Linked DNA regions of Macaca fascicularis. The protein of the gene in region 2 interacts with the protein of the main gene of each other region in a pairwise test. Links are inferred from orthologs where the notes say so. Each region holds a gene or a part of one and is shown on either strand. Other genes may lie near its edges. The genes, in order: GPR37, PRKN and SNCA.

Region 1 (9,030 bases), on a different chromosome or scaffold from region 2:
CTTTTGGGAATATGAAGAATTGAGCATCCTCAGATAAAACAAGTGTAGAATTCCTGACGATAAGTTGGAACACATGTAAATCTTGCTTAACATTTGTCCTGGCTTTTGTTATCTTATGAGATTGAAGGTAAAGGACCTGGAAAAACATTGTTTTGCTTTCTTAGGCAGTTAACGTCTTCTAATTAAGAGCGGATGTGCAGCACAGCTTCTGATACCTAAGGAGTTGGTAATCTAACACACCCATCTTAATACATGTCCACCCACACACATTTGCCATTACCTTTCATTAAAGACTGTAACTTCCTGGAGTTAGGTATGCAGTTACTAGCATTTGTGATAATTGATCCATATTTTTTCAATCTGTAGATTTAAAACTAGGGAGATTAATAGAGAAGATGCTATCTTTTGTGCATTCTGTGTTCTTAGCAAGTAATGATAGAAAACCACCAAGCAAACAGATGTTCTGAGCCCCTAACAGATTGCCTCTCCTCAGAGTCTCCAGTATTTTTATGTTAGTGAACTTTCCTTTTAATAGAAATCCTATTCATGATTTCAGAAGGATGCATAGCATAAACTTTGGTAGCTTTGTTTATGTGGACTCACTTGGGCTATAAAGTGACGGGGAAGCATGCACACAGATTTGCCTTAGTGAAGATGGCACGAAAGACTTGACGAGGGTTTCTGATAGTTGAAGAAGTTTTGTTTGTTTTGTTTTGTTTTTAACAGACCTAAGAGAAATGAATCAAAACATTTGAAAAACTGGTATACAAATGTCGTTTCAAAAATCTATAAATTAATGTACTGTAATTTCTACGTGATACTGTTTGATACAGAAGTTTAGAAAGTGGCCAGCCATTCTTAGATGTCTTCAAGTGTGGCAATTGCTGACATTTTATTTTATTTTATTTTATTTTTAATTTATTATTATTATTTTTTTTTGAGACGGAGTCTCGCTCTGTAGCCCAGGCTGGAGTGCAGTGGCCGGATCTCAGCTCACTGCAAGCTCCGCCTCCCGGGTTCACGCCATTCTCCGGCCTCAGCCTCCCGAGTAGCTGGGACTACAGGCGCCCGCCACCTCGCCCGGCTAGTTTTTTGTATTTCTTAGTAGAGACGGGGTTTCACCGTGTTATCCAGGATGGTCTCGATCTCCTGACCTAGTGATCCGCCCGTCTCGGCCTCCCAAAGTGCTGGGATTACAGGCTTGAGCCACCGCGCCCGGCAATTGCTGACATTTTAAAACATAATCATAAGACAGTTGTACAATGTGGACTTCAATTTTAGAATTATTCTGTGCCTCCAGCATAGATGCAAAACAAATTTTCATCAATGTGAACAATTTTTAGTTTGAAAGTTAATTATTAAAAGGTGAAAGTGGAGTTTTTTTTTTTTTTTTTCAGTTGAAGTCATATTAGGTTGATGTTAACCTTAAAAGTTTGGAGAATAAGAATTGTGGTGATAAGTCCAGTCATGCCTCTTTATCTGCACTGATCTAGAGCTTTGCTAGCCACATTTTTTTCATTTTTGCTTTTAATATAGTTAACATCTCATTATACCTCATTTTCAGACTGTCTCCACTAATAGTTATGAGAGTAGTCAGGGCGTACATACAATGTCCTTATTTTCCGTATTAGAACTAGTAGACACCGTCTGATATGTAGCGTACAAGGAGAAAATATTTGACATTGGAACTGTCGAAATCCACAAGGCAACTTGCCATAGCTCTGGGGAGAGTGACAGCTTGAATGTAGTAGATAAACAACTAATGTTTTGAGTACTAAAACTGTATGACAAATGGTTCCCCTTTTGTCAACATCATCCCTTTGACTTTTAAAAAATTAGATGTTAACATTATACTTACATTTCCCCTGCCCCTTTGCCAGGGAATGGCCTATATCATGCTGCTTAAACCTTCCTACCAACAGGCAGGGGAGAGCAAATGCATATATTCGAGTTGTCTGGGGTGTAGACCAAAGCATTCCATCCACCCAGGGAGTTTTCTTTTAGTCTCATATTTTATCTGAAACCTTATTGACATTTTACCTTTTACTCCTTGTTCTTGTTTGAATGCATAGATAATGACTACACTTATTATATATTAAATTACTTCAATTTTCCCCCAAATATTGAAGTGGCTTTAATATTGCCAGGTGATTGCTGTGTTCATGTTGTAACTTTGAGAACCATCGTCCCCATCTTGGTTGACTATGATGTGCTTGAGGGAAGTCACTGCTTCTTGTAGCTTTCTATTTTCTCGACACCAAGCATAGTGCTCGGCATGGAGTTGATATCAATAAATGGATGCTTGTGTTGGATATGTATCTGTTTGCCCCATTTGAGTACATGTACAATGCTTAATACATGTTTTATAAGTAAATGAAATGATAGCATGCTTACATTAAGAACATGTGTTTATATTCCTGGAAAGCCTCCATGTGAAAAAAAATAGGTACATATTTTTGGTTCTTAACCTTTAAATGTTGACTTTTTTAGATGTCTGGACCATATGCTTACAAGAACAGTGCCTTTTTGAAGACAGTTTTTCATTTGGTTATTGTCAAAGAGTTTTCTGCTCCAAAATTTTCCTGTGTTTGAGATATCTAGACATTCTTTTTGGCTACTTTCTGCATATTTTCCTGTATTTTTACAGGTTCTATTTTCTTTGATTTTCTGAAGTATCTCCTATTTCTTTAAATTTGATATACATACCTATTTTATGATAAATATATTTTTTATGTCTGATTCTGTATCTCTGGCATATAAATTCATAGTGGCTAATTGTCTCTTGCATATTGTGACTTTTGATTTTGTGAACCTGTGTCCCTTGAATTTTAACTATAGGATTTTTTGAGGTCTGGTTTTAAAGTACATTCTTCCAGAGAGGATTTGTTTGATTTTTACCAGGTGCCTGGGATTATTTTAAATTGTATTTTGGGTTTTCTGAGCCACATAGATCCTGGAAATTCTGATCCTAACACCATGTAAGTTCAGGCTCCTGGTTAGAATTTGCCATTTTTTGCCTCCTTTCCCCCCAGTTCATCCAGACCCAAATCCTGTCATATAGGCAGATTTCTTCATTATCTCCTTACACCTCTTAAGATGTCAGCATTTGAGGAGTTCCAAATTCACAGGGAGTCTTTGACCCAATCCCCACCCACATTGGCCCCAGCTCTGTTTCCTGCCCCTGTGTACCTGGGCATCTTGCCCCATTTTTCTAGCTAAAACTAACTTGAAGCCCTCACCAGGACGGGCAGGTGCCCCTAAGGTAAACAGGCAGCATGAACAGGGAGGAGTCTCTGGCCTGTTTGAAATTTGTTTCCTTTTTGATTTTGGCCTCTGGCGAATTTCCCTTTCTTGTTTTCTGTAAGTGTATGCCTTTGAAGATAATACTGTCATACTTTATTTTGCATTTAGGAAAAATTGGAGGAGCCCTCTCATCATTTAGTCCATCGGAGACAATAAACTCTTTGGTATTTGCTGTGTGTAAGGCACACTACTGACCCTCACACTGGAAAACATGAGAATCCTGGTCAGCAATGAAAATGGGAATTTCTGCACTACCCTGACTCCTTATCTAGCTCTCCTAGTGGCAGACACTTTCGTGGTGAATAAGATTTTTAGTGTATCTGGGTTCTTATCTATAATAAAAAGGGATTGGACTAGCTGATCTTTATGGATCCTTCCAGTCCTAAATGTTTTGCACTCTATGACCCTCAACCCACTACAGTTTGTTTTCTATTTTTATGCTTACAATGATTCAGCTGATGTCCTGAGCCCAGTTACCCATGCCTCATTCTGGAAAACTGTTCTCTCTCTCTTATTTTTATTTATTTATCTTTTTTTTTTTTTTTTTTTTTTTTTTTTTTTTTTTTACGGTTTTGCCAGTCTGCATTTATTCCCTAGTGCTTTGATCTTTCAGGGGACACTGGGAATAAATGTCTTCTCTGTTCCCCCACAGGTCGCTTCTCTGGGAGTCACCACTTTCACCTTATGTGCTCTGTGCATAGACCGTTTCCGTGCTGCCACCAACGTACAGATGTACTATGAAATGATCGAAAACTGTTCCTCAACAACTGCCAAACTGGCTGTCATATGGGTGGGAGCTCTACTGTTAGCACTTCCAGAAGTTGTTCTCCGCCAGCTGAGCAAGGAGGATTTGGGGTTTAGTGGCCGAGCTCCAGCAGAAAGGTGCATTATTAAGATCTCTCCTGATTTACCGGACACCATCTATGTTCTAGCCCTCACCTACGACAGTGCGAGACTCTGGTGGTATTTTGGCTGTTACTTTTGTTTGCCCACACTTTTCACCATCACCTGCTCTCTAGTGACTGCGAGGAAAATCCGCAAAGCAGAGAAAGCCTGTACCCGAGGGAATAAGCGGCAGATTCAACTAGAGAGCCAGATGAACTGTACGGTAGTGGCACTGACCATTTTATATGGATTTTGCATTATTCCTGAAAATATCTGCAACATTGTTACTGCCTACATGGCTACAGGGGTTTCGCAGCAGACAATGGACCTCCTAAATATCATCAGCCAGTTCCTTTTGTTCTTTAAGTCCTGTGTCACCCCAGTCCTCCTTTTCTGTCTCTGCAAACCCTTCAGTCGGGCCTTCATGGAGTGCTGCTGCTGTTGCTGTGAGGAATGCATTCAGAAGTCTTCAACGGTGACCAGTGATGACAATGACAACGAGTACACCACAGAACTCGAACTCTCGCCTTTCAGTACCATACGCCGTGAAATGTCCACTTTTGCTTCTGTCGGAACTCATTGCTGAAGGACGGTACTTGGTTGGGTCAGATTTATTTGTTTGATTTTCATATCCCGTGAAAGTTTTTAATTCATATTTTTCCTTACAGGGAAAAATGCAAAAAAGAAACAATAAAGAAAGAAATATTAACTACTGTAGAACTGATTTTGCAAATTAATATTTGTGCTTTGAAAAAAAGTTTCTATTTAGTTATTTAAGAAGAATGAGAAGGCCAATAGTTTTAGATCATTTTATCTGGTATGGTGCTAATATTTTATTTGAAAAAAGTTACTGCAACTTAACTTAAAATTGCTAACGTTTTTTCTTCTTTTAAAAATACAATTATTGTATATTGATTATAGCCATGTGATTTTGTAGGTTATTTTATATTTGAGTTGTGATTGAAAGTATGTTGTATAAGGTATTGTGAGATGATTTGTACTTGGAAACATTCACAAAGTAGCACCAAATAAATTACACTTTATTCTTTAATGTCATTGTCAATCTACTTTTAACCAATATTCAATAAATCTTCTAATTGCCTTAAAGATACAATTACTGGTTCCATGCACAATTTAAAACTGGCCTTACTGTTTTATAACCTATTTTCTTTTAAGGCAGGTAATCATTATGTCATAAAGAAGTTTTTCTAATAGCAGTATTTTATATGCATGATTCATAAAACTATGTTGTATGTTAAAACAAAGCTGTATTTTTAATATTCAGGTATAGATGTCAAGTTACTTCTGAATACTTATAAAATATGAATAAATAGCAGAGTAGGAAGAAAGTTTATTTTTTAAAAAATTTGCCTTTGAACTAGCACATAGAGCTACAGGTTTTCCCTTGAGGAATTCTGGGCAGAATCAAGAGTTTTAAAATGCAGTTGTCATCTGATTGCCTCTGAACACTGACCTTTGAAGCTTTGTGAATCCTACGTATAGCACTCTGAATTCTAATTTTTCTCCTTTTGAAAAATAAACTTGATGAAATCTATACAACTTAATTTCTTTAAGTGCAATGAAAGTATAGGAGTGGAATAATAAAATATATATTTTTATTAGAACATTCAAATACTACCTTTAACTTGATACTTCATAAACTCTGAATAAAAACCTAACCTCCTCCAATGGGAATATTTGAATCCCCTCTTTTGCCTCTTCGGGAGTTTGAAGTGCAACAATTGTGTAGGATGCTTGCTGTGTGGGAACATGTCTAACTCAGATGGCAGAGGCCATGACCTAGTGACACAGTCATATTTAAAAGCTACCAGAGAAGAGATGTGTAGTTGAATGCTTTTGTCTTCAGAAAAATCTTATTTTAGGGGAAGCCAGTTTTCTTGCTGGGAAAACGTATTTTCTGCTTGTTGATTTCTGTTCTACTCAGCACAAGTAAGTCAGTATTCCTTTTTCCAAATTATAACGTGATGTTATTTAAAAATCATTAAAGAGATTGGTGCAGGTGAAACTCGAGTTAACTAAATGGGAATGTTCAGGCTATCTCCTTTTTCCCCGTCCAATACTTTTCAAAGGGATTTCCCCCTCCATTGTGTGTATCCTGTGGGATCTGCAGGAGAATTAAAACAAGGCACCCTTGTCTTCTTATAGATCCCTGTAATACATCTTTGGAAAATTTCTCAAGAGGACATCTGAGTTAGGTTTTGGTTGCTGAGCAGGTCAGCAGTTGTGATTCCATAGTCTCTCTCTTGTCAGTCACTTTTATAAATCAAGGAACAATAGAGCATGTCATGTAGAAAAGATTCCATCCTATTACCTGAGTAACGAAAGGTAAGTAGGTCACAGCCTCAGACCTTACAAAATCAGGTAGGGATGACATGGATGGGAAGGAATAAAATAAAAACATAGACAACTATGATATAAGCTGGGGCTTGTTAGGTGCCTCAGGAAGGTGTGAAGTTCTGTGATAGTTCGGAGCAGAGGGAACACTTGTCGGATTAAAAGAGAGCGTGAAAGGCTTTATGAGATAAGTGGATGGGTGAGCTTTTAGAAGGAGCTGATTGATGAAAGATTGTGTGAGGAGTAGACACCTCAGGAGGAGAAAGGTAACTTATGAAGGAATAGAGGAAGAAATCACTGGGAGTGATTGAAGAATAAACAGCCCAGTTTGACTTCTGTGCTACGCGTGCATAGAAACCTTGCGGAAAATATTAATGAAAATATGCACTAAGGCCTCTAGTAAAAGGGCCATGTTTTGAAAGATGTTTAGATGTTGGTGCTTCGGGAAATGGGGCTTTGCTTTTAAGGTTTTTGAGTATGGAGAAATAGTATCGCAACTCTGCATAGGAAGATTAACTTGCAAACAGTTTAAATAGGCTGGTAGGGGACAGTCTGAACATGAAAAAGCAACTAGGAAGCTATTATAAGAGATTGAACCACAATGGAGGCAGCGGGAACTTAAATTTCTTTTTTCATTTATACTTACCTTTCAACTTTTTGTAGTTGCAACATGTACTTTCTTATTGAATCCTACCTCTGTCAAAGTGGAAACTTTAATAACTCAAAACAAATTGTCCCAAGTATAAAGTGATTTCAAAGTTTTCTCATAGTCTTGCGTTTTTCACAAAAACCAATTTCTATAACATACTTTAAAAAAATTGTTAATCATTTCTGTTCAACATTTCTCCAGTCTAGATCCTAATCCAGTGTCTTCCGCTCCTCATTAAACAACAACAACAACAAAAAGAAACTCACAGCTAAGATTAAGTTCAGTAAAATTTTGATTAATCAGAAAATGCTAGGAATGGTATTTTGGTTACTTAACAGGAACACTTTTGTGGTTTCAGGGTAGTCAATGAAAATATTTTCAAAATCTGTGTCTATATCTATAACTGGATATTATAATTAACTCAATTTAACATTTATTTGATTCGCAATTTTGAAGCCTTTGAATGTATGACTTCAAGCAGTAAGAAAGATGGAGTGATGGTGAGAAGATAAAGGTGAAGTGGTGCTCAGAGGGATTAGTGGTTGAGAGGGAAGAAGGTAGGAAGAAGAGCTTCACAGAGGAAGGATCAAATCCTTATTGTTCCAGTTTATAGATGTAAGTAATTTACTGAAATCTAAGAAAATGCTGATACGTATTTTAAAAACTATATCCCTATGTCTTTTTTTTCCTCATCAGTTCCTTATTTCTCATAAAAGTAAAATTAGAATAAAAGATCCATTTCTTCAAGAATTATGGTGAGATAGATTTTAGTGTGTTATATAAAGTAGCAAGTGATACTGAGTGCAGGGCATTTTAAGTAACAGCTCTTTCATTATATCTCAGCTAATTTATTCAACAATTATTGAATGAACACTATTATATGTTAAGCACCATTGTAGGTGCATGTGATATAGCTGTGAACTAATCACCAAGAAGCTTTGCCCTCTCTTGTTGAGACAGATAGACACTATAAATAAGGAGAATGCATAGTATATAGTTTTTAGAATACATAGTATTTTTGGTAGTGGAAATTACCACAGAGGAAAGGAGTAACAGGGTAAGGTGAGGTTATGAAGAAGACCTTATTGCTAATATGACATTCAATTAAGACTTGAAAAGAGCAATCAAGTCTTGTAGCAACTGGGGGAAAAAGCAGGTTCTGAGGTAGGAATATGTCTGATAGGTTTCAGGAATGTAAAGCAGCTACTGAAGCTGGGAAAGAAGGAAGAGGAAGAGAAGTAGCGGATGAGATCAGAGAGCTAAAGGGAGGCCATGTAAACTATTGTAATGACTGCTTTTTATTCCAAGTAACACGCCACTGGAGGGTTTTAGATGAAGTGATCTGATTATTTTCAAACCAACAATTTCATTTATTTTAATATTACCATATAGTTAATACACCGTAAATTCACTCCTGTTAGCACACAGTCCTGAGCGTGCACAGTTGTGTAACCACTACAAAGTATAAAACAGTCTCATTATTTCAGAAAATCTTCCCATCCCCCTTTGTAGCCAACTTTATTCCATTTTTTTTATTGTTATAGAATGTCATATAAATGGAATTGTATCGTACGTAGCATTTCCATCTGGATTCTTTCAGTAGCAGAGTACATTGGATGTTCATCCATGTTGTGTGTATCAGTAGTTAGTCTCTTTCTATTGCTGAACAGTATTCCATTGTATGAATGTAGCACTGTGTGTTTATGCACTTCTTTCTCAGTTGAGGGACATTTGCATTGTTTTGAACTTGGTGATTATTAATAAAGCCACTAGAAATGTCCACATATAGATATTTATGTGAATACAAATGTTCATGCTTGTTTGGTAAACAGCTAGGA
Region 2 (11,169 bases):
GGTGGATGATATTGTACAAACCTAGACAAAAGGTGATGAGGGCCCCCATTAGTTTATCGCCACTTGGTCCCTTCATCATTAGTACTTCTCTACCAGAGACATCTGTTTATTTGTATTGTAATTATTTTACTTGTCTCTCTCCTTTTCTTCACCAATAATGTAGCACATTTAGCACTGGAGTTAGACACTTCTAATTATCCCCCAATATCCCTTGGCTACAGTAATAAAACATTGCAAGTTTGAGCTGGACATAGAGCTACCAGTTAAAGACTACATGTCGCAGCCTCTCTTGCAACTAGCTGTGGCCATAAGACTAGGTTTTGGCAGGATTTGAGCAGGAGTGAGGATTGCTGTTTCTGGGACATGCCTTCATAATGAAGCTGTTTGCTCTTCAGTTCTTCTTGCCTCATTCTTGCAGATTGCTCCATACCCATTTTTCTCTCCCCTACCTGAAGTAGGTGTTGGAGACGATGCCCTTTTGGAACTACATAGCTTCCTTCATCCCTTTCCTGAGGAGAGAGGTATGTGGGCTTGGGTGTTACTTCATGGGTCAAGCTTTCACAGGATTTTGCAAAACGGGAAAATGTAGGTGTATTACTAGGTTCTGGCCAGTTGGATGACAATGAAAGTGGGGTGCTGTGTCCGGGTCATGCCTATAATGGGAAGCTCTCTGCTTCCACTTTCCTCCTTCTTGAGGGCAGGTATTTGACCCTAGTGGTCTCAAGCCCACCTTGTCTCAGGTGTCATTTTACAGGATACAAAGAACAAACATGTTCCTATGTCCCTGCACCCGCCTCACGGGGAAATACTGCCCAACCTCCTGGGATTACCTACAAACTTGAACTTCTATTATGAGAGAAACAACTTCCATTTTAATTAAGCTATTGTTATTTGGTCTCTGTTACAGCAGCCAAATTAATATCTTAATATAGAATGTATAAATATTGATGATTACCACTACATGTTAAATAAGAACATGATTGGACGCACTATACATGTAAAGTACAGGTTGAACTATCCCTTATCTGAAATGCTTCGGACCAGAAGTGTTTTGGATTGGTTTTTGTTTTTTGTTCAAATTTGGAATACAGTCGTCCCTCAGTCTCCATGAGGAATTACTTCCAGGACCTCCTGCAGATACCAAAATCTGCTGATGCTCAAGTCCCTGATATAACATGGCATAGTATTTGTATATAACCTACACATTTCCACCCGTATACTTTAAATCATGTCTATATTACTTATAGTATCTAAAACAACATAAACTCTATATAAATAGCTGCTATGCTCTATTGTTTAACAGGGAATAATGACTAAAAAAAAAAAAAGTCTGTACATGTTCAATACAGATAAAATTTTTGTCCTAAACATTTCAATCCAAGGTTAGTTGAATCCACGGAGGCAGAATCTGTACAAAGAGCTGAGTATATCTGTATTATACACTGGTGGTCATGCCAATTCTGAAAATCTGAAATCCAAAATGCTTGAAAGAGAGTTTTCTTTGAGTGTAATGTCAGCACTCAAAAAGTTTTGTATTTTGGACCATTTCAGGTTTCAGACTTTTGGAATAGGAATACTCAACCTTTAATATTAAAAAAATATGTATTTATTCCATTCCCCTAAACTTTGAGCATAAAGCATCTATAGTCTATTGAGAAGGAAAGCTGTAATAGAAAGCTTAGGCTAAACTCAACTTCCCTGTCACCATAAACCTGGGTCAATTTTCTAATTTGCTTCATGATAAGCATGTTCAGCACAGAAAGCATCTGACAAGATGAAGACAACAAAATGCTTGGTTAATAGTTTCTGGTCATAGGCTCTATCGCAACCCAAATAAAGCCTTTAAAAGGAAAATGAACTTTGAAATCTTCAAATTGTGTATCTCTTACATCTCTTTATAGGCAAGCACTATAAAAATGTGAATTTGAATATTATTTGATGGCAGGGCTTTTGTGATGCTTGTTTTCTTATAGAATGCAACAAAAATTTCATGGAAACAAAGTCTACTTTCTATTGAAGAACAATACTTGACATTGAGATTTTAAAAATTTTGCCATTTACATTTATCATTATTTTTCAATAATTTTGCGCTCTCATATCCAGACTGACTGTTTAAATAAGCATTTCTGCCTGCACAGCCCATTTGATGAAACATATTTATGATCAAGTTTATGTACTTGTATCACTATTGCACTCAAAGAAATATCAGGAGTCTCTGTGTAACTCCTTAGGATATATAAAATTCTTCATGTTTTAAGTGGAAGAGCATTGGAATGGTGACTTATCTAACTGGAAAAGTGGTTTGGAGGGTATTGGCCTTTGAGCATGAGGTCGCAATTAAGAAAAGCTGGAAATTGTCATACATATCCTGAATCGAAATACACCTTCAGAAAGAGATGAGGATATTTTGATCTTATAATGCTGAAAAGTCTATACTGCTAAAGATAAAAATGGTGAAATGTAAATATTGGTTATGAAATGGAAAATTTTTATTTCTTGTACCACTGAAGTTATTTTGTATAAACAGTATTGTCTAGCTTTCTTTTATCAAGATTTGAATGTTGTTATTTTGGTTTACCTTGGAGTACTAAGGGCAGGGACTTTGCTTTGCTGATCCCAAATCCCCAGAACTGTGCTTAACAAGTATTGGGTATTAAAAAAAGAGAGAGAGAGAGTTGTTGACTGAATAAGTAGATGAATGGATAAATAATCTTTGCATTTAAGAATTATGATTTCCAATGGCAAGAGAAGTATTGCTAGCACAAGATTTTCCTTTAGAATATAAAAAGATAAGATAATGTATCACAAATAAGTTCTTTATAAAGAAGCCTGCTTCATAATCAATGTGGTTCTTTTAAAGTCATGTAGGCATATTTACTACATCTGGCAATATAGAAACATTAGATTTTGCAGAACTATCTCTTTAGGCGTAGGATTATATTAAAGAATTAACATGATACAAGAATTATGAACACAAGTTTAGGAAATAACAGAAAAGAACCCTGACCAGTAAAAAAAAAAAATTGTGATATTCAATTATAACATTAAAAAACACCAAAATTGTAAATATTGTGTAGAAGAAAACTAAATTATTAACTTGAATGGTTATGGTATTGCTGATAAATGCATCATCTTGACTCCTAGGAGAACCAATTTATGTGAAATTCCATGAAAAAGAATTAGTTACAACAAGCAGAATTTTAGTCTATTTCCAAGAATTTTAACTACTGTAAATCACCTGACACACTTCTCAATAATTAGGATATCATTTTGCATAACCACATGGGAACCTGGCCTAGAGGTCTATAGGTAATCTGTTTCATTCATGTATTTTAAGTATGTCATTTAGGAATAAGTTATTAGGTTTACAACATATAAGCAAAGGAAATAATGTGACACTGGAAAACAACATTACTCATTTAACATAATGAATTGCCACATGTAATAACTCAGATCTTCCCAGGGTGTAAATTATATGAATTTGAAAGCTGCATTTATTATTTAATGCCTCATTCCCAGACAGGTGCTTACTCAGTAGCAAAATCTGCCTTAGCATACCAAGTGTAAAGCTATGTAACAAATAGGAAGGTTTAAAAAATAGATACTATCATGCAGACAGCTAAAATATTTGTATGTATTTTTAATCTTTTTTTCCTCTAATGATACTTAGAATATTTTATTTTTGTTACTACAAATAATGCAGATGAAATATGAATTGTATTAGTAGCAGAGACACATGAGCTAAAGCTTGTATTGTTTAAAGCACATCATCTTAAAAGGCCTGTCAGGAAACAGTGTTCATATTAAGTGGGCTTTCAGTACTCTAACAAGATGACATCATTTTCTAAGAGACAAGTGTTGTTAGAGTAACTGCTAGGATATTCCAAAATTTCTCATTATAGATTATTTAATGAGTTTATGTTCCCAGTTGTATATCAGCTCATGTTAAATTTTGCAAGAGTTTATGATTTCTAAGAGCTCATCTTCTGTAAGGCCCTTTGCTGAGTGGGGTTAGTTAGCAATCAGTAATTAAAGGGGATCTTTTTACCTCGTGTAAATAGCGTAAGAGTAATTTTGGGCGGTTTAGAAACGATGAGTTATCAGGAAGGTGCTTATCAATGGGCAGAGTATATCATTTGCCCAGGATTCTAACAACCTAGCCTGCCCCCCACACACTGTGGGGGACCGTCTGCTACTTGCCAAGTAATTGCCATTTTTGGCAAAGACCACCCAGGACATGGGCTCAGAGTCCATCCTAGGGCTGGCCAACCTCTGTAAATCTCGTGTCCCCTGATACGGAGCGAGTGCATTCAATTCAGGAAGATCACTTACGACTGAGTTTTTCATCATGGCTTTGACTGTGAAGCCCTCAGAAACCAGGGAGTGAGGCTGGTGCACCGGGAGCGGCTGTTGTGCCAGCAGCTTGGTCCTCTTCGGCATCTTGTCTGGGCATTTGTTTAAGCTCAGGGTCTCTTTTTCTGCCACCATCTTCCTAGAAAATGTCTTGTTCTCATAAAAAGTGTAGTAAAAGAATCAGTGGGTTTTACGGATGTGAGCAGGAGGTCGGGAAAAAAATGTCAAAAGGCGCGTTAATGGTAGAAATTCAACCCCTCGTAGTGCCCAGGTTGATCCAGATGTTTGGCAGCTCCTAGGTGAAGGGAGTTTAGGGGAGGGGTGGGGCGGGAAGAGGGCAGGACCGTAGCTAGAGCTGCAACAAGCTTCCAAAGGTAAGCCTCCCGGTTGCTAAGCGACTGGTCAACACTGCGGGCGCATAGCTCCGCCCCTCGGTGACGTACGATTGCTGGGCCTGAAGCCGGAAAGGGAGGCGGCGGTGAGCTGGAGGGCAGGAGGCGTGAGGAGAAACTACGCATTAAAACTACGACTCCCAGCAGGCCCTGGGCCGCGTACCCTCCGCGCGTGCGCATTCCTAGGGCCCGGCGCCGGGGCGGGGAGCCCTGGAAGATTTAACCCAGGAGAGCCGCTGGTGGGAGGCGCTGGCTGGCGCCGGTGCGCGCGTAGGCCCTTTCCTGGCCCGCAGCCGCCACCTGCCCAGTGACCATGATAGGTACGTGGGTACCTGCCAGGTACAGCCTCATCTGCGCCGCCCTGCGCCCCGGTGTGGCCTCGGCCGACCTGGACCCCAGGTGCCAACTGTCAGTGACGGGGCCAAAGTGCCCATGCCGTACCCGGCCCGCACCGCCGGGCTCTCCAGCTCAGCGACGCGGGCCCGGGGCCCCAGTGTGTGCGTTCCAAGCCCTCGCCCGCCCGCCCCTGCTCTGAGCGTTCCCGTGAAGACCGCCTCACCGGGGACGCCAGGCGGCCCCGCACCCCCGGTCCTCGCTCATGGTCCCCCGGACCGTGTAGGGTCCCGAAGCCTTCGCCCCGCCGCCGCCCCTCGCCCTCGAGGCCCTGGCCAGTTGTCGTGCGGTTCAGGACCCATCGAGACCCACTCTTTGTGGGGCTCTTTCAGGAAACCCCAGCAAAGCATTAAACTCTAATGGAAGGCACCTGGTGAGGGTGGCTGGGCGCCACAGAAACTCCTCCAGATGAATCTAAACTTCTTGCTCCCTCGGATGTTTCCTTTTAAACTTCTCGTTGGAGGGCTGAGGTGAAAGAAAAATTGAGAGTAAATAATAGCCAAGATTACATCTACTGCCTTTTGCAATATAACTTTTTTTTTTTTTTTTTTTTTTGGTAAAACACAATGACCGAGGTGCAATTTTGTGAACAAAACTTAGTGGCATCAGAGTTGTTCATGAACACTTGATGTGTAAGATGAGCAAAGGTGCAAAGGTCCTCTTCCAGGGTTGTTGAACCAAAAACTACTTTAGGGGCTGTCCCTAAAAATGAATGGAAATGCACCATATGTTTAGAAGCCAGTGCTATATGGGGTTTCATTATTGTGGAAGTTTCTCCAGGTTATGTATGGAGGGTTTAGTGAGCTTGTTTAGGGCTAATTCCTGAGGAGCGTCCCTTACAAAACACTTTTGATTGCAGTAAGTACGTTCGAAGTCAGATGTGGTCTGTCCAGAAGTAAGGTGAGAGGTGGATTCATAAAATATATGATCTTTATGCACTGAAAACACGTACTACATCTGTTTTTATTTATGAAGTTATTGTTAAAATGTAAACATTCTGCCCATCAGTGGGAGAATCAAGCCAGCTAACTGGCATTGTCTTTGTCTCTGTGGTAAAACAAGAATGTTGTTCAGCCTTCCCTTTCTAGCATGGTCTGACTTTTGGTGAATGACTTGAAAGTTAACCAAATTATGAAAAAGTTATAATTTTTTGAGTTTTCTTGAGCTCTTTTTAGGTGACATTTACGTAAGATTCACTTGTAAGCACAAGTCTGAACTGAATCAGAAAACCAAGTAGAAGAGATTTTCCAAAATCCGTGCTATCAGTAGTCTACAGGAAGAAAATAGCCTATACCTTATTTTGAAGACAGTTAAATACATTTTATTTTAATTTAACTTAATCTAGTGCACAGATAATTTTAAGAGAAACAAATTTATTGTAAAGCTATATGAAGACAGGCACTTAAGATCTGGGATTGGAGGCGTAAGCCACCACGCCCAGCCTCATTAGCCACATTTCAGTAAACATCTGAATGGCCAGTTTGAGATTTGGGTGTGGTGAACAGTGCTAAAGGTAGGTGAAAGTGAAAACCATTAAAAGGAAGCCTTGGAGTGATGGATTTTGTGTTTTTGTGACAAAAATTCAGAGCGAGGAAAGACATTATAGATTTTATCCAGTGATCAGTTGGAGATCAAAATGTAAATAGTATGTATCTGGGATTTTCTGTTAAAGGTAAGAGTGCTTCTCAAAGCTTGCTCCTTTCAGGCCTATGCTTTCTCTGTTACACTCACCTTGTTGCGGGATTCAGGAGGACGAGAGAGACCTCGGGTTGAAACAGGAGAATCTTGATCGAGTGCACTCAGGCCCAGCTGACTCACATGCAATAGACTGGGCCCAGAATAAAGACAGTACTTGACTTTTATACACACTTCACAAAAGGAGGTGGGCTAGCTTGAAGCAAACTTACGGTGGTGGCAAAGCAGGGATACAGAGGCAGGACAAAGGCAGGACTGCACATGGCCATCGCCAAGCAACCCAGATGTTCGTTATCTAGGTTTCCCTGGGCACAGGCTTATCCTATAACCTTCACTATGGTGCCCAGGCAGCTGTAGTTCAGGCCTACTCAGGCTTCTCATGACCTTCGTTGTGCTTCTTAGATAAAACAGAATACTTGAAATCACTAGTTACAGAGAACAAGAGTCTATAAACTGATTCCATAAAACAAAGGAAAATTTGTTTTTCTTCTCCCTGTGTTGAGGGAGTGCTGGGAGAGTCTCCAGAGCACATTCGATAATATTAGCAAGACTCTTCCTGGATCTGGGCTGTGCTGTTGCTGCCTCTGGGACAAGTTAGCCTAAAACAGGAAAACTTATTTCTTTTTCTTTTTAATTTTATTTTTCTTTAATTTCCCGCCCCAACCTTAATGCAAATAATATTCTGCCAGTTGGAGAAACGTAAAGATGGGTTTCCTGGTAGAAGAGGAGTAAACAAGACTGACTGCGACCTAACTGCTAGTGGAATGTGCCTTCCTTTTACTTTCTCAAAACCAAAGATTCCCTTCTTGGGATGAGGACTGTTTCATAAGTCCTTACATTTCCCACCTGGATTGCGATTGATATGTTGAATGCCCTGACCTGGGCAGCTATGGAAACGTAATTTAATTGAAGTCGGTTAAAAATTGTGCCTTTGTGGAAGGTGTGGAGAAGGACTTCAAGATAATATAAAGCAGAATAGAAAAGCTTAAAAGAATTCAACGTAGAAAAGTGTAATTTTTGGTATCTCTATTAAAAATATATTTTGACTTTGTAAAAAATGATCAGTTTTTTGTATTTAAAATGGAATGTTAGTGGTGATAATTTGTGGTATGTTCTAAATGTTCTGTAGAACTGGATTTAGGTATTTGAGTAACAGCAGATATTAGAGTGCTTGGTTATATATACACCAATGTTGTCAGTATTGAAATACACATTCAGTGTCTTATACTTTTAAGAAGATTTTTGATTGACAAAAACCATTCATTGGAACATAGTCTCTTCTATACCTTGTTTCACTTAGCATCTCTTTGAGAATTTACATATCTGCATGTACAGATTCACTCCACAGCAGTTCCTGCCTAGTGTTTTATAGGATACACTAATGAAAATATTTACCAACAAATAAGCACTCATCAGGTTTACAGACGACTGTTATCAGAAATGTTTGTGGACATATCTTTTTACTTGCACATGTAAGCATATATGTAAAAGAGAAATCGTATGACAATTTGAGTTAAAGAGTTTGCAGATTTAAAATATTCCTAGGTATTTCAAAATTTTTCTAAAATAAGTTGCCCTATTTTACAAAGCTATCTAAAGCCTCCACGAATACAACATGGTAGTAAAGAGCTGCCCTGCCCCTCTGGCCTGAAAATTACCAAAAGACGTCCTTCCCGAGACTGACTCAGCTTTCACTAGCAGAACACCTCCTAGATCTCCAGTCCCCACCTCTCTCTCACCCTAGGTGTAGTGCCTTTCAGTGTACAAGCTGCACAACTGTCCTTGGTGGCCCTGCCCTCCCTTTCAGTGTGTATAAGGGTGCCCATTTCCTCCCATGTGCCATCAAAGATTTTTTATTTTTGCCCTCTTGACAGATGAAAAACAGCATCTTTTAACTTTGCAAATTAATTTAGAAGAAAACTTCCCATTTTCATCTTATAATGCGTTAGTTTCACAAAAGCAGATGCGGTGATTTCAGCACCTGCTGTGTACCCTTAACTGCTCTAGGTGCCAGGGAAACGAGGGAACAGAGCAGAAAAAGTCCCTTGCCATCAGGAATGTGCATTCTGACTTCACCATTTGCCCATATATCTGCATGTTTGTTTTCAAGCGTGTGTGCAGTGAATTTTAAAGTCTCAATTTATATTTCTAGTTGAATATTCTGTGTACTACTCTTTGCCCTGCCATTTTAATAAGTTGATGAAAAGCAGCTCTATGCCTAAGTACCCCAAAGCTTCTGTTTATGATGAGGTAAAATTGTGTCAAAAATAGGCTCTAATAAAGTTTTGCATAGAAGATTTTATGTAATTATATAATAGTTTTTCCTTGAGTCGGTCCAAAAGCTCTAAAATGACCCTTTGTCCTTTACAGTTTTGGCCCTATTTCTGAGGATATTTTTGAAGTCTGCATTTTTTGAAACCTCATAGTTTCATTGCCTGAAAATGATACAATGAAAGTACTTTGTATTAAGATATGTAAATCCATTCCTACCTCCAAAGCTTTTTTGAAAGATGCAGGAAAAAAAAAAGAGTTCTTACTTCGAAATGCTTCATATTCCTGAGAGCAGTTTTAATGCAAAAAACTTTATTCTGTTAGCTTTTAGTTCTTTGATCAATGAAAATTGCTTCTTACCTACTGTTTCTTCAGCCTTTAATTGTAGCCCAGTGCTTATTCAATGTTTCTGTTTTCATTTGCATTTAATGAGCTCATTTTAAATGTTTCTTTGTAGTAATCTGAATGGTTTCTCTCCCTAAATTTTGTAACATTAAAGAAAGAGACTCATGTGACAGTTGGCTGATTTATGTTACAGCTTCCCTCCCTGGCTGATTTACTTCATCCTGTAGGATAGAATCTTGGTTCAAAGGAAATACAGTAGCAGGATTCTTTCCCCCAGTAATTTCCTAATTACCTAGGACTCTAACAGATTCACTCAAATGTCTGTTTTTCACCAAATAGAAACCTTTTTTCCTTGGATGAATAGGTATTTAAATTTATGATTATTCAGTGTCATTTCTTTATACCATATGTATTAGGTGGTGCTGGGTAGGGGTGGGTACACACAGGTTGTATATATCTATATATTGCCTATGGGGAAGGCACATACAAATGACCATTTCTTCCCAATGAGTTTATGGCCTAGTTGGGCTGATTAGGCTTACATTAGTGGTATAGATTCCACCTTCACCACTGCAGCAGAAGAGTAATTAGAAAGATGTATGTATGTATCAGCACACACATATGTGCCTGCAACATGTGATTTTTTATGTTTCTTTTGCTCATGTGATTCTCTTCGAATGCCCTTTCTTTCTGTTGTATGTCTGAAAACTACTGTTCATTATTTAAGATCCAATTCCAATGGCACCAACTTCATATGAAATTTTATGTGTCACCTTCTCACCCTCTTTTCAGTGTGGGGCAATTAACACCTCCTTTACAGTCAGCCAAGATATTAGCAACTACCCTTCATCAGGTTCTTGTTCATAGTCTAGAAGGGGTACAGAAAAGTAAAGATTTACAAACCTGAAAGGTGGGTATCATGATACAGGTTTATACAAGGGAGAACTGGAAAGCTCAGCCTATTGAGCGTAGAAGATCCAATTATTTCCCAGTGGAGCCATTCCAGTTGTCCTGCAGGACAAGTAGGAGTTAACTAGGTGAAGGAGGCCTTCTAGACAGGCATGGAGGGGAGAGAAGAGAATGGAATGAAAGGTATCTGGTGAGGCTGGCAGGCACACCAGATAAGCTTTGTCAAGGAGGTGGGTTTAAAGTTGGTGATAGGGAGGAGTCACTGAACCATTATCTATGGAAGAGCATTATGAACAGGGTGTCTTTTAGAAAGATGTCCATGGCAGTAATAGAAAATTATGAAATAGAATGCTGTAGAAAATAGTTACACTAGTGTCAATAAGTCTAGATAAAGTGTTAATAGCTTTTATTAATAGAGGGTAGTCTTTCACTGAGAATGATGGGGTAATCGTGTGGTAGGAGATAGCTTTTCTCAGGGTGGTGACATTGATTTGATACGTCATTATATCATCTCGGATTAAGGGCCATACTTCTTTTTAAAAAGTTCTTATTTTTGTAGAATAAATTAATGTCTCTCATTGACAGGTGTTTTATGTCATGTTATTAAAGCTTTAAGTGTATTTGTATTCCAAAAATAGTGTGTATCTCCTTCTTTGATATGTGAAACATGATGCTTAGAGTTCTATTTATAGTTTCTTCTCTGTGTGGAGAGAACAATGTCATCAGAACTGTGGATACTGTGTCACCCGGAATAGTGCAGAGTAGAGTTTCTTCTTCATAGATATCTGCATAACTCATATACCTAGGCACA
Region 3 (10,373 bases), on a different chromosome or scaffold from region 2:
CAGTGCTGTGGTTAGGACTAAAAACACAGGAGTCAGTTCTTCTTGGTTCAACTTGTTACTTACTCTTTACCAGCTGTGTGGTTTTTTTTGCAAGAGTCTTCACCTCTGTATGATTTAGCTTCCTCGTCTATAAAATAATTCATTGAATTAGTGTACACAAAGCATCTGGAAAACAAAAAGCAAACAATATATATATTTATAAGTGTTACTTCTTGCTTTACAGTGAACTTTCTTGTGCAACATTTTTACAACTAGCGTAGAAAAATATTTTTTAAATGAATACTTTTGATTTAAAAATGGGAGTGTAAAAATAAAGCAGACTCCTTTGAAACTAGTTCTGTTAGAAGTTAATTATGCACCTTTAATGGGCTCTGTTGCAATCCAACAGAGAACTAGATAAGTAAATGGACTATGTTGCCTTCTAGGGACCTCCTATAAATATGATATTGTGAAGCATTATTATAATAATAACTAGATAGCAGACAGGTGGAGACTCTACTATCTGAAGAGGGTCAGTCTAGATGAATGGTGTTCCATTTAGTAGTTGAGGAAGAACCCATGAGGTTTAGAAAGCAGAAGGCCATGTACCAAGTTTTGGAGTCAGTGGTAAAAATTTTAAAAACCCAACTACTACTGTCACCTAATGATCTAATGGAGACTGGAGATGGACTGCATTTTTTCAGTCTTCTCCAGAATGCCAAAATGTAAACACATCTCTCTCTCTCTCTCTCTCTCTCTCTCTCTCTTTCTCTCTCTCTCTCTCTCTCTCTCTCTCTCTCTCTCTCTGTGTGTATGAGAGAGAGAGAGAGACTGAAGTTTGTACAATTAAACAACATTTTATAAAATGTTTTCTAAAGGACAGTGGCCCACAATCCTAAGTTTCCAACATTGTACAATGTTGGGAGATTCTGCATATTTTATTTTCTCTTTGGTATATTAAGGAATCTGAGATGTCCTACAGTAAAGAAATTTGCATTACATAGTTAAAATCAAGGTTATTCAAACTTTTTGATTATTGAAACCTTTCTCCATTAGTTATTAGGGTTGAATGAAACTAGTGTTCTACAGAAAACTATGGGAAATGTTGCTAAGCAGTAACGACATGGTGATTTCAGCATGGGCAATATTTACAACCATTACACCCATGAACCACCCTGGCAGTAGTGAAGTACCAAAAATGCTGTCATAACTAGTATGGCTATGAGAAACACATTGGGATAAATCAGCTGCTATCATAATCATTCCTCTCCCACATCAGATAAATGAATTAATTTTTTGAATAGGGTTATTTAATATAAAGTTCTTAAGTCTAATTATGAGAAGAAATAAGACAATTACTTCAGTGGTTAAAGAGAGAATAATTTGCATATTTTACCTGATGTAAAATGTTTGCTATGGGTACATATTAAGTGCTAACTAATTGTTAATTGTTCTTGTTACAAGTCTTAATGCAGGGAAACAAGAAACTATTACATAGTACCTAATATTAACTTCTAATATTAAATAAACAATTTCCCCCAAATTCATCCCATTAGATTTCTTTTCAAGGGGGCGGGGGAGAAATATAGACTTCAGTAAACTTGGGCTGGGAGCTTTCTACCTACAAAGTTCAAGGAAAACAAATTATCCTAGTTAGATAATATCAATGAAAAATCCACCAACTTAAATCCTAGCTCTTTGATCTCGGGAAATTATTTCAGTTATCAACTTAATGCATCATATATGAAAATGTATTTAATTAAACTTACTGAATGATATGTTTTTAAGGTACTTTAAAAATAAACTATGATATAAAGTTACTTATTTTTCATGCAAGTGTAGTATAAAGAAATTTCTGACACTGGAGATTTTCTGAAGGTTTTGATTCTTGTAAATTTATTACATCATAATGAACAAAACTAATTTTCAACATGTTATGATCTAAATTTCCTTAGTAAATTGTTTTAAATTTATTTTCTTTAAATCTATCATTTGTATAACAATTCAAAACTAGATATTCTTAATTTTATAATTTTGTTTAATGTCAAAGATTAGATTTTGCTATATCTATTCTAAAAGTTGGTATCACATTTCCTTTTTGGATTTTTATTTTTAACTTAGTTAAAGTCAAATATAAACCTATTACTTATATTAATGCAGATATTAGAGAGAGATACTAAATTCATTTTAGTATATTCTAAATTATTTATCTACTATAAAATAATATAAAGAAAAATAAAGTAGAATCCCTGATTTCAAAAAACTCAGTTGCTGAAAAACAAATACCATTTGCTAGACTCAAAATGTACTAATATGAGTATGTCTCTTTTCCTTTTGTTTTGTCACTGTTCGTTTGGAATGTCAGTGAGTAGAGAAATAGTGTGGAAGGCCCTCGGGGGAAAAATAGAGGTTCAAGGTCAGCAGAGACCCTACTAGAGAAACCAGTTCTACAGAAATGTTTTTAAATGTGTCGATGATTGCTACCTGTATACTCTGTTATTTTGTCATGTAACCATTTTATTTATTATTATAATAATAAAAGAGTGAAATTATAATAATGTGCAGAGTACATTTTACTGTGCAGTGTATTGCATTAAAACTAGATTAAAATTTATACATCTATAAAAGGTTATCTAGATATTATAAAATTTATGGCTGGATCTGTAAAAAATTCAAAACCTATTTTTAATCTTGCTTCAAGATTTTATAACAAGAAAATGTTCATTTGAAGCAAAATTTTCAATTCTCGTCCTTGAAAACGAAAAAAATGACAACTTGAAACACATAATTGACTATTTTTAAAGGATCAACATTTCAGAAATGTTTTAAAACATAAAATTTTCAGTACAGCTTTTCACTGGCATTTAAATCGAACTTTGAATTGTAAATAGCTCTTACTCTTAAGGAGACATCAGCCATATCCTTAGAAATGGCACGGAGTTGGTAGGTAGTTGTACAAAATTCTAGCCTAAAAGACAAGTAGGGAGCAACAATACTGTGGACCCTTTCTGGTCTTGGGCTGTGTGGCTATGTCAGGCTTCCCCACATTGCCTGAACTAAGGAGAAAGCCTCTTGTCCTTACAGGCCCCTTAGCTTCTGTGACTTACATAGTCTATTTGAAAATGAATTGCTTTGTCCACACCATTTAACTATTGGCTTCTTCAACTGGTGAGATGAAACCTATACAATAATCATGTGACTAGCACGAAAGAGCTGACATGGTGTAACTCCTCTCAGACTGAGGCTTATCTGGGGAGTACAAATCATATCAAGAAAATGTGCCTTCATTTCCTTAGATGAGTGTCCCCATCCTCCACTCTCCTCCACTGTTCTCCTCTCTGCTTCTATGATACCAACTTTTTTTTTTTTTCTTTAGATTCCACATGAGTGAGATTATGTTGTGTTTGCCTTTCTGTTTCTGGCTTATTTCACTGAACAAGAAAATTTTTGACATGAAATTAAATTTCTGCCTATAAACTCAATTCAAACTGTTTACACTGTCTTCTCAAAAATGTTAACTTATTGTAATAAACCTACTGAATGACCGTATCACATTTTGTTTTGTGAAAACGAATTTTAAGGGTGCTCAATAGCCTCTTCATTTTCATACTGTCCAGCTCCTTTGCTCCTATTAAAATTACTGCAAGTTAGCTTTTAAGAACCCTATGTTTCACTACCTGAAGTTCTATAAAAAGATCCAAGTTCCTTCAAAACCATTTCTTATGCTGTCATTCATACATATGTGATAATACCGTGTCTGAACACACAGATAAGAAGTATGGGCTGGGTGCGGTGGGTCATGCCTGTAGTCCCAGCACTTTGGGAGGCCGAGGCAGGTGAACCACCTGAGGTTAGGAGTTCGAGACCAGCCTGGCCAACATGGTGAAACCCTGTTTCTACTAAAAATACAAAAAAAATTAGCCAGGCATGGTTATGGGCACCTGTAATCCCAGCTACTCAGGAGACTGCGGCAGGAGAATAGCTTGAACTCAGGAGGTGGGGATTGCAGTGAGCTGAGATTGTGCCATTGCACTCCAGCCTGGGCAACAAGAGTGAAACTCTATCTCAAATGAATGAATGAATGAATGAATGAATGAATGAATGAATGAATGAATAAATAAATAAATACAAGTATGTATTGTGTTGTTTAGAATGTGTGGTGGAAATGAACTTGCTGAGTGAGCTCAAAGGATTGGCACTGAATTGAAATAAAGAAATACTCATGTTGAGTCTGGTTCAACTATAACTGCACCTGTAAGAATTGCTTTCCTTAGTATAAAACAAATCCAAATCACTCATGGCTTTACATTCTGGATCATTAAACTTGAAGCACTTTTTAATACTGCATGACTTTAACAAAAATATCTTAGCCGAGATTCAATGTTTGGTTGAGCCACGCTCACTTGGACACCTTGGTTGCTTGTTTCTTCTGACCCCTCAGTTGTCTATGGCATGTGTAGATACAGGTGTATGGAAGTCGATGGCTAGTGGAAGTGGAATGATTTTAAGTCACTGTTATTCCACCACCCTTTAATCTGTTGTTGCTCTTGATTTGTACCAGTGGCTGAGAAGACCAAAGAGCAAGTGACAAATGTTGGAGGAGCGGTGGTGACGGGTGTGACAGCAGTAGCCCAGAAGACAGTGGAGGGAGCAGGGAACATTGCAGCAGCCACTGGCTTCATCAAAAAGGACCAGTTGGGCAAGGTACGGTGTGTACATTTTGTGCTACATTTATAAGCTGGTGAGATTATGGTTCATTTTCATGTGAGGCCTGGAGGCAGGAGCAGGACACTTACTGTGAGGAACAGCTACCTGACCCTCCCCTTGTGAAAATGTGCTACCTTTATATTGGTCTTGCTTGTTTCAGGCATTAACCCAGATAAATGCCATGCAAATTTTATAATTATCATGATTGTTTCAATTTCTAGAAGAAAGTTAATGAAATAAAAAATGTAGCAAAATGTCAAAGGAACAGTGACATTTCAAAAAGAATGAGGACTTTCATGTTAACTATAAGTCTTGGAATTTCTCTTCCTTGGAATAACAAATCTCTTTGTGCCTAATTTCTTAATTTCCAAAATAAAATTCTTTTACTTGATTTCTTTATAGTGACATCATCTCTTATTAAATGGCATATTTGCATATTACATAACAGTTCATTGCCAAATACATGTTTGTGAGAACTAAGAGGTTTAAAATATATACCAACCAGAGATCATAGTTTTGAGGTAGATTTTAAAATTCTGAGAAGAATTTTGACTGAATTTTTTTGACAAACATGGGGCACAAATAAGATTATACCAAAGATACTATAACTTTCATTTTAAATATGAAACTAATACGGTATGAGGTGTCAACAATGATGAAATTTTACAAATGTCACCACTACAACAGCAAAATGATTTTTGCTTTTTCCCTGTCTCCTTGCTATTTCTTGAATAAATCAAGCATACCCTTGCCCTGACACATTACTGGGGAGGCCTGCCTTAATCTATATAAAATTGGAGCCATTCTTCTCACCTCTGGTATTCTCAGTCTCCCTACTCTTTCTTTCTCCTTCCTTCCTACCTTCCTTCCTTCCTTCCTTCTTCCTTCCTTTTTCTTTCTTTCTTTTTTCCTTCCTTCCTTCCTTCTTCCTTCTCTCTTTTCCTTCCTTCCTTTCTTTCTCTTTCTTTCTTTCTTTCTTCCTTCCTTCCTTCCTTCCTTCCTTCCTTCCTTCCTTCCTTCCTTCCTTTCTTTCTTTCTTTCTTTCTTTCTTTCTTTCTTTCTTTCTCTTTCTTCCTTCCTTCCTTCCTTCCTTCCTCTTTCTCTTTCCCTTCCTTCCTTCTTTCCTTCCTTCCTTCCTTCCTTCCTTTGTTTTTCTTTCTTTCTTTGCCAAAGTGTTCTTCACCTTTAAATATAATAAATAATTTGCTTACTTTAATGTATTTTTTAAATTTTATTTCTCCCTTCTATTATGTAGGCACCATGAGAGTGAAATATATTTATTTTGTTCACTGATATTTCACAAGTGTCTGGGAGAGTTTCCAACTTAGAGTAGACAATTAGCATATGTTTATTAAGAAGGGAAGAAAGGAAGGAAATAAGTGAGTAAGCAGAACAACTTTTATTCATGGGTCTTTTATAATCATATCCTTAGTATAAGAACAGTGCTATTCAGTTATCCAAAAGTTAAAATCAAAATGATTTTGGATGAATCTCTTCAAAATTGTGAGAAAGAAGTTTTATTTGCTGGCAAACTATTCTGGGTTGTTTCCACTTCATGTAATACTAAGTAGCAGCCTTACCTTGATAGCCCATTAAAACACTGATAATAAAAAGGCAGAACAAAAATATCTGTGATATATTTAGATTTACTACATGAAGTTACATGTCTAGTGTCTGGTGCAATGGATGTAATTATGGCAAATCCTGACTGGGCTTCTAGTGAAGTTCTTCAGCTAATGCTTGAATGCATGGTTGGTCATGGTGATACCCTTTTGTACAAAATATGCTTTTCAAATAATCTTATTAGGGATAATAATTATATTAATTCCTGGTTTCCACCTAAAATTATAATTCTATTTATAGCTCTGTAAGATTTCACAAGTTAAGAGGGACCTCAGATTAAAATAGTACACAGGCAATTAACCAGTTTTGTGTCTCAGACCCTTTTCACAATCTAATAGAAGCTATGGACCCTCTTAGCTTCAGAAAAATGTGTCCTCACATACACACATCAAAGGGCTTAATGGGAAGTCCACTGACAGACCCTCTGTTCAGATCAATCTTCTGATTGTACAGATGAGGAAACTGAAATCAACAGAGGAAGTGGGTAGTCCAAGATTGTACAGTCATTTGGAATAGACTGGACACCAATAGTACTTTTCCAGCCACTATATCACTTCCCCAAGCATTTCCTCAAAACTTACCTTCCTTTGGGTCTTTATACATTCAGTTATGGACAACTAGATTTAACTAGAGAATTTTATTGCTTCAGAATATTAAGCAACAGGGAAACATGTACCATCCTTTCTTTATTCACCTGCATTTAACGCATACAATATAAATTGCAAATGAAGCATGAAAGTGCTTAATCTTTTACAAAACTGGGTTTGCTTTCCACCCATCTAAAAATACTGCTATTTATTTTAATATTTAAAGCAGAAATCTAAATGATGTGACAAAATTAATCATTTGGAGATATTTCCCTTATAGGTACTAGAGTATCTTATTGATTTCTAATATGAAAATGAAGTCATAAAACCTAGAAATTGCAGCATAGTTGTGGAAATAAACATTGGACTGAGAGTGAAAATGGCTAGTCTTCATCTCTGCTCATACACCACCTGACTGGATAACCTTTTGCAGATCTCCTAAAAGTCTTTCTCATATAATGAGGAAGCTCTACTAGAAAATTGTTGAAGTCTAATTTAGCAATAAAGTTCTGAGTTTCTAAAATAATTCAGAGAGTACTCTAATAAACGTCTGCAATTGTGGCCACATCTATGGGATGCTAAAAAGTCTGGATAGTTTCAATGAAAGTATTTAATTTGTTCATTATGATATTTGAAATAATTTATTTCATTTTTTAAACTCTGATCAAAATGACCCTGGCAACTAGAAATAAGCAAAATCTTTTTGCTTGAAATGCTTATTAATGACCACATTGAGACACTCATTCATCATTCAAGAAAGAATGTTTACTCACACTGTGCCAGAAACTTGGAGGAAGAGGGATGTGACAATTAGGGATACCAGATGTCTAGCTTGTAGAAGTGGATTAATGGCCGTACTTTAAGATCAGGAACACTGAAAGGGAGTAATGGCACCGGTTTTAACCTTTCATGCCCTTTGAGGGTATTTGGCCCATCACCCTCTAGTTGATGAGGGGGAAATTTTCCTCTCCCTTCACAAATATGGGGAAATTAAATTACGTAATTCTGAACAACCAATAAATCAAGAGTAAATCAAAGAAGATACCTGTTTTGTGAATTTGATCATATGAATATAGCTGCCCTTATTAATAATTTCTGAGTATAAGACTAGTTAAAGGACAAATGAGTTATCTTGAATTATAAGAATTTGTTTTACAGAACAATATTAACTCTTGTGTTTAGAATTAGAATTAGAATAGAATTAGAATTAGAATAATAGATCTTTTGATCTATATTTTACTCATGTACACATAAGAAGTTATCAGTCATATAATTCATTTCTTGAAGTTCATACCTTTTATTGGCAGAGTAAAAACAGGTTAAAAGTGCACTGGCAGAAATTTTAAGTGCAAAGCAACAGTGATGTTATATAGAGAAAATTTATATTTCCTACTTCTATTGAGGAAGAAACATCTGCTTGTTCTAAGAATATTGTACAAAGAAAGTGACTTGGATCAGCATTATTCTGTGGTGCTACTACGTGTGCAGTGTGGAGCTGGCCACCAGAACACTTGGTCTATCCCAGCTCCTCAACAGTGTCTTGCATGTGGCTGGTGCTCAAATAAATCCTTGCTGAACTAATGAGCATTTCTTTCATGCCACATGGAATGCTCTAAAAGAGTTGGGTCCTGAAGTTTTTATATTTTTATAATTTTCTGGAGTTTTAGAGAGCAAAAGGCCTAAATAAACTGTGAAGCCACTGCCTGACAAATAATACAGCAGTCAGCTTCATTATCGTATCCCATTTAGACACTGACTTATCTACATGATGATTAGTAGTTTTCATGCAAGAAATAAGCTTGAAATATCTGTTGCCTCAGGTACTGAAAACATCCAGGTTCAGCAATGTTATTTATTGTTGTTCAAAATCAGAATGAAGTTCCTAAACAATGCCATTTTGAGCCGGGCGCGGTGGCTCACGCCTGTAATCCCAGCACTTTGGGAGGCCGAGGCGGGCGGATCACAAGGTCAGGAGATCGAGACCACGGTGAAACCCCGTCTCTACTAAAAATACAAAAAATTAGCCGGGCGCGGTTGTGGGCGCCTGTAGTCCCAGCTACTCGGGAGGCTGAGGCAGGAGAATGGCGTGAAACCGGGAGGCGGAGCTTGCAGTGAGCCGAGATCGCGCCACTGCACTCCAGCCTGGGCGACAGAGCGAGACTCCGTCTCAAAAAAAAAAAAAAAAAAAAAAAAAAAAAAAAAATGCCATTTTGGAAAAATTGGATCAATAGATTATAAACAGTTTTTTAAAAATCTGGATTCAAATGGATTAACGTGTGTATATTCTGTAATAATCCTGACTTAATTCATAAAAGGATAGCTAGCCAGTTGTGTGGTAGATGAATAAAACAAAAGCAGGATTTAAAATGCCAGATTTGACATCATGAACTATAATATCTAAGCATTCTTTTACTCACTTCCTTTGAACTTACTACAGCTGTCATGTTGGACTTCATGCAAATTTATTTTTAAATGCTTGAGTGTTATGGACCCTCTGATTAAATGATTAATCAGATGATGTATGCTGCCATCAGCTGAATCATTTAATGCTGATTTCACAAACAAGCACAGGTCACAGGCAACCTTTCAGATTTCTTTGAAGAAGCACACACAGGTCATAGGCACAATCTTAAAATAATTTTATAACAAGGTAGTAATAAAAGATGTCAGGACTGGAGAAATATTTTAATTTATAGTACACTTTCCCCTTAAGTGTCTAATAATGATTAATATAATACATTGCCTCAAATAATTAGGAGTTTGATTCTTGTCCTTGTGCTTGACTTCAGAAGATAACCAGATGACTGTTAGATATATTTAGACCTAAATTAAAAGCTTTGAGGCACAGTGAATTGCTTGATTTGTATTTGTGTTTGGAGTGGCATATACTATTACTGGCACTATAATCTTAGATTAAAGCATAGTGTGATTATTAAAGAAAAATTTTAGATTTATTTGTTTCTAAAGATATGTAACAGTAACATTTTGCAATGTGGTATGTAAAAGTTGTTATCTTTTTACTCATATGAGAGTCCACTAATGGTACATAAACTGTCCTCACTTAGAAACACAATTACTATGGACTTTCTTTGTATCTGACAAAATTTCACTGGGTTCAAGATGGATGAATAACGAATTATAATGACCCTTAATGCTGTAAGGTTCTAGGTGGGAAAGTAGTCTGTAATTATGTATAAATTTATAAGGAAAACAGGCTTACTGCTATGTTTTCATTAAAAATCATTAACTGAGTACTTAATACGTGCCAGACACTCAGCTAGGCACCATGAGGAATACAAAACTGAGTAACACATAAGAAATGGGCAGTTCAGGCCGGGAGACTGACATATTTACCCTTGGAAAAAAGGAGCAGCTGTGGTCTCTGAGAACAATATGGTTTGTAACAAGTATACATCCATCATGAAAAAAAGGAGATTTATCTTAGAAATGAGAGAGGTTGATGCTGTCAATAAATAT

Evidence for each region.
Region 1: the proteins of PRKN (region 2) and GPR37 interact in a two-hybrid assay, tested with the Homo sapiens proteins (2 studies listed by BioGRID). The link is inferred for Macaca fascicularis from reciprocal best matches to the Homo sapiens genes PRKN and GPR37.
Region 3: the proteins of PRKN (region 2) and SNCA interact in binary tests that used the Homo sapiens proteins (3 or more experiments, as listed by UniProt). The link is inferred for Macaca fascicularis from reciprocal best matches to the Homo sapiens genes PRKN and SNCA.

What each region holds. Positions count from the first base shown.
Region 1 is NC_088377.1:166,329,213-166,338,242, reverse strand, and holds the end of GPR37 (prosaposin receptor GPR37), read left to right. Parts: intron 1-3,955; coding exon 3,956-4,774; 3' UTR 4,775-5,743; downstream 5,744-9,030.
Region 2 is NC_088378.1:8,399,582-8,410,750, forward strand, and holds the start of PRKN (E3 ubiquitin-protein ligase parkin), read left to right. Parts: upstream 1-4,939; 5' UTR 4,940-5,058; coding exon 5,059-5,065; intron 5,066-11,169. Other genes in the region: PACRG (parkin coregulated gene protein), read right to left, coding at 4,333-4,488. UniProt on the Homo sapiens protein: Functions within a multiprotein E3 ubiquitin ligase complex, catalyzing the covalent attachment of ubiquitin moieties onto substrate proteins. Substrates include SYT11 and VDAC1.
Region 3 is NC_088379.1:95,359,634-95,370,006, reverse strand, and holds part of SNCA (alpha-synuclein), read left to right. Parts: intron 1-4,540; coding exon 4,541-4,683; intron 4,684-10,373. UniProt on the Homo sapiens protein: Neuronal protein that plays several roles in synaptic activity such as regulation of synaptic vesicle trafficking and subsequent neurotransmitter release.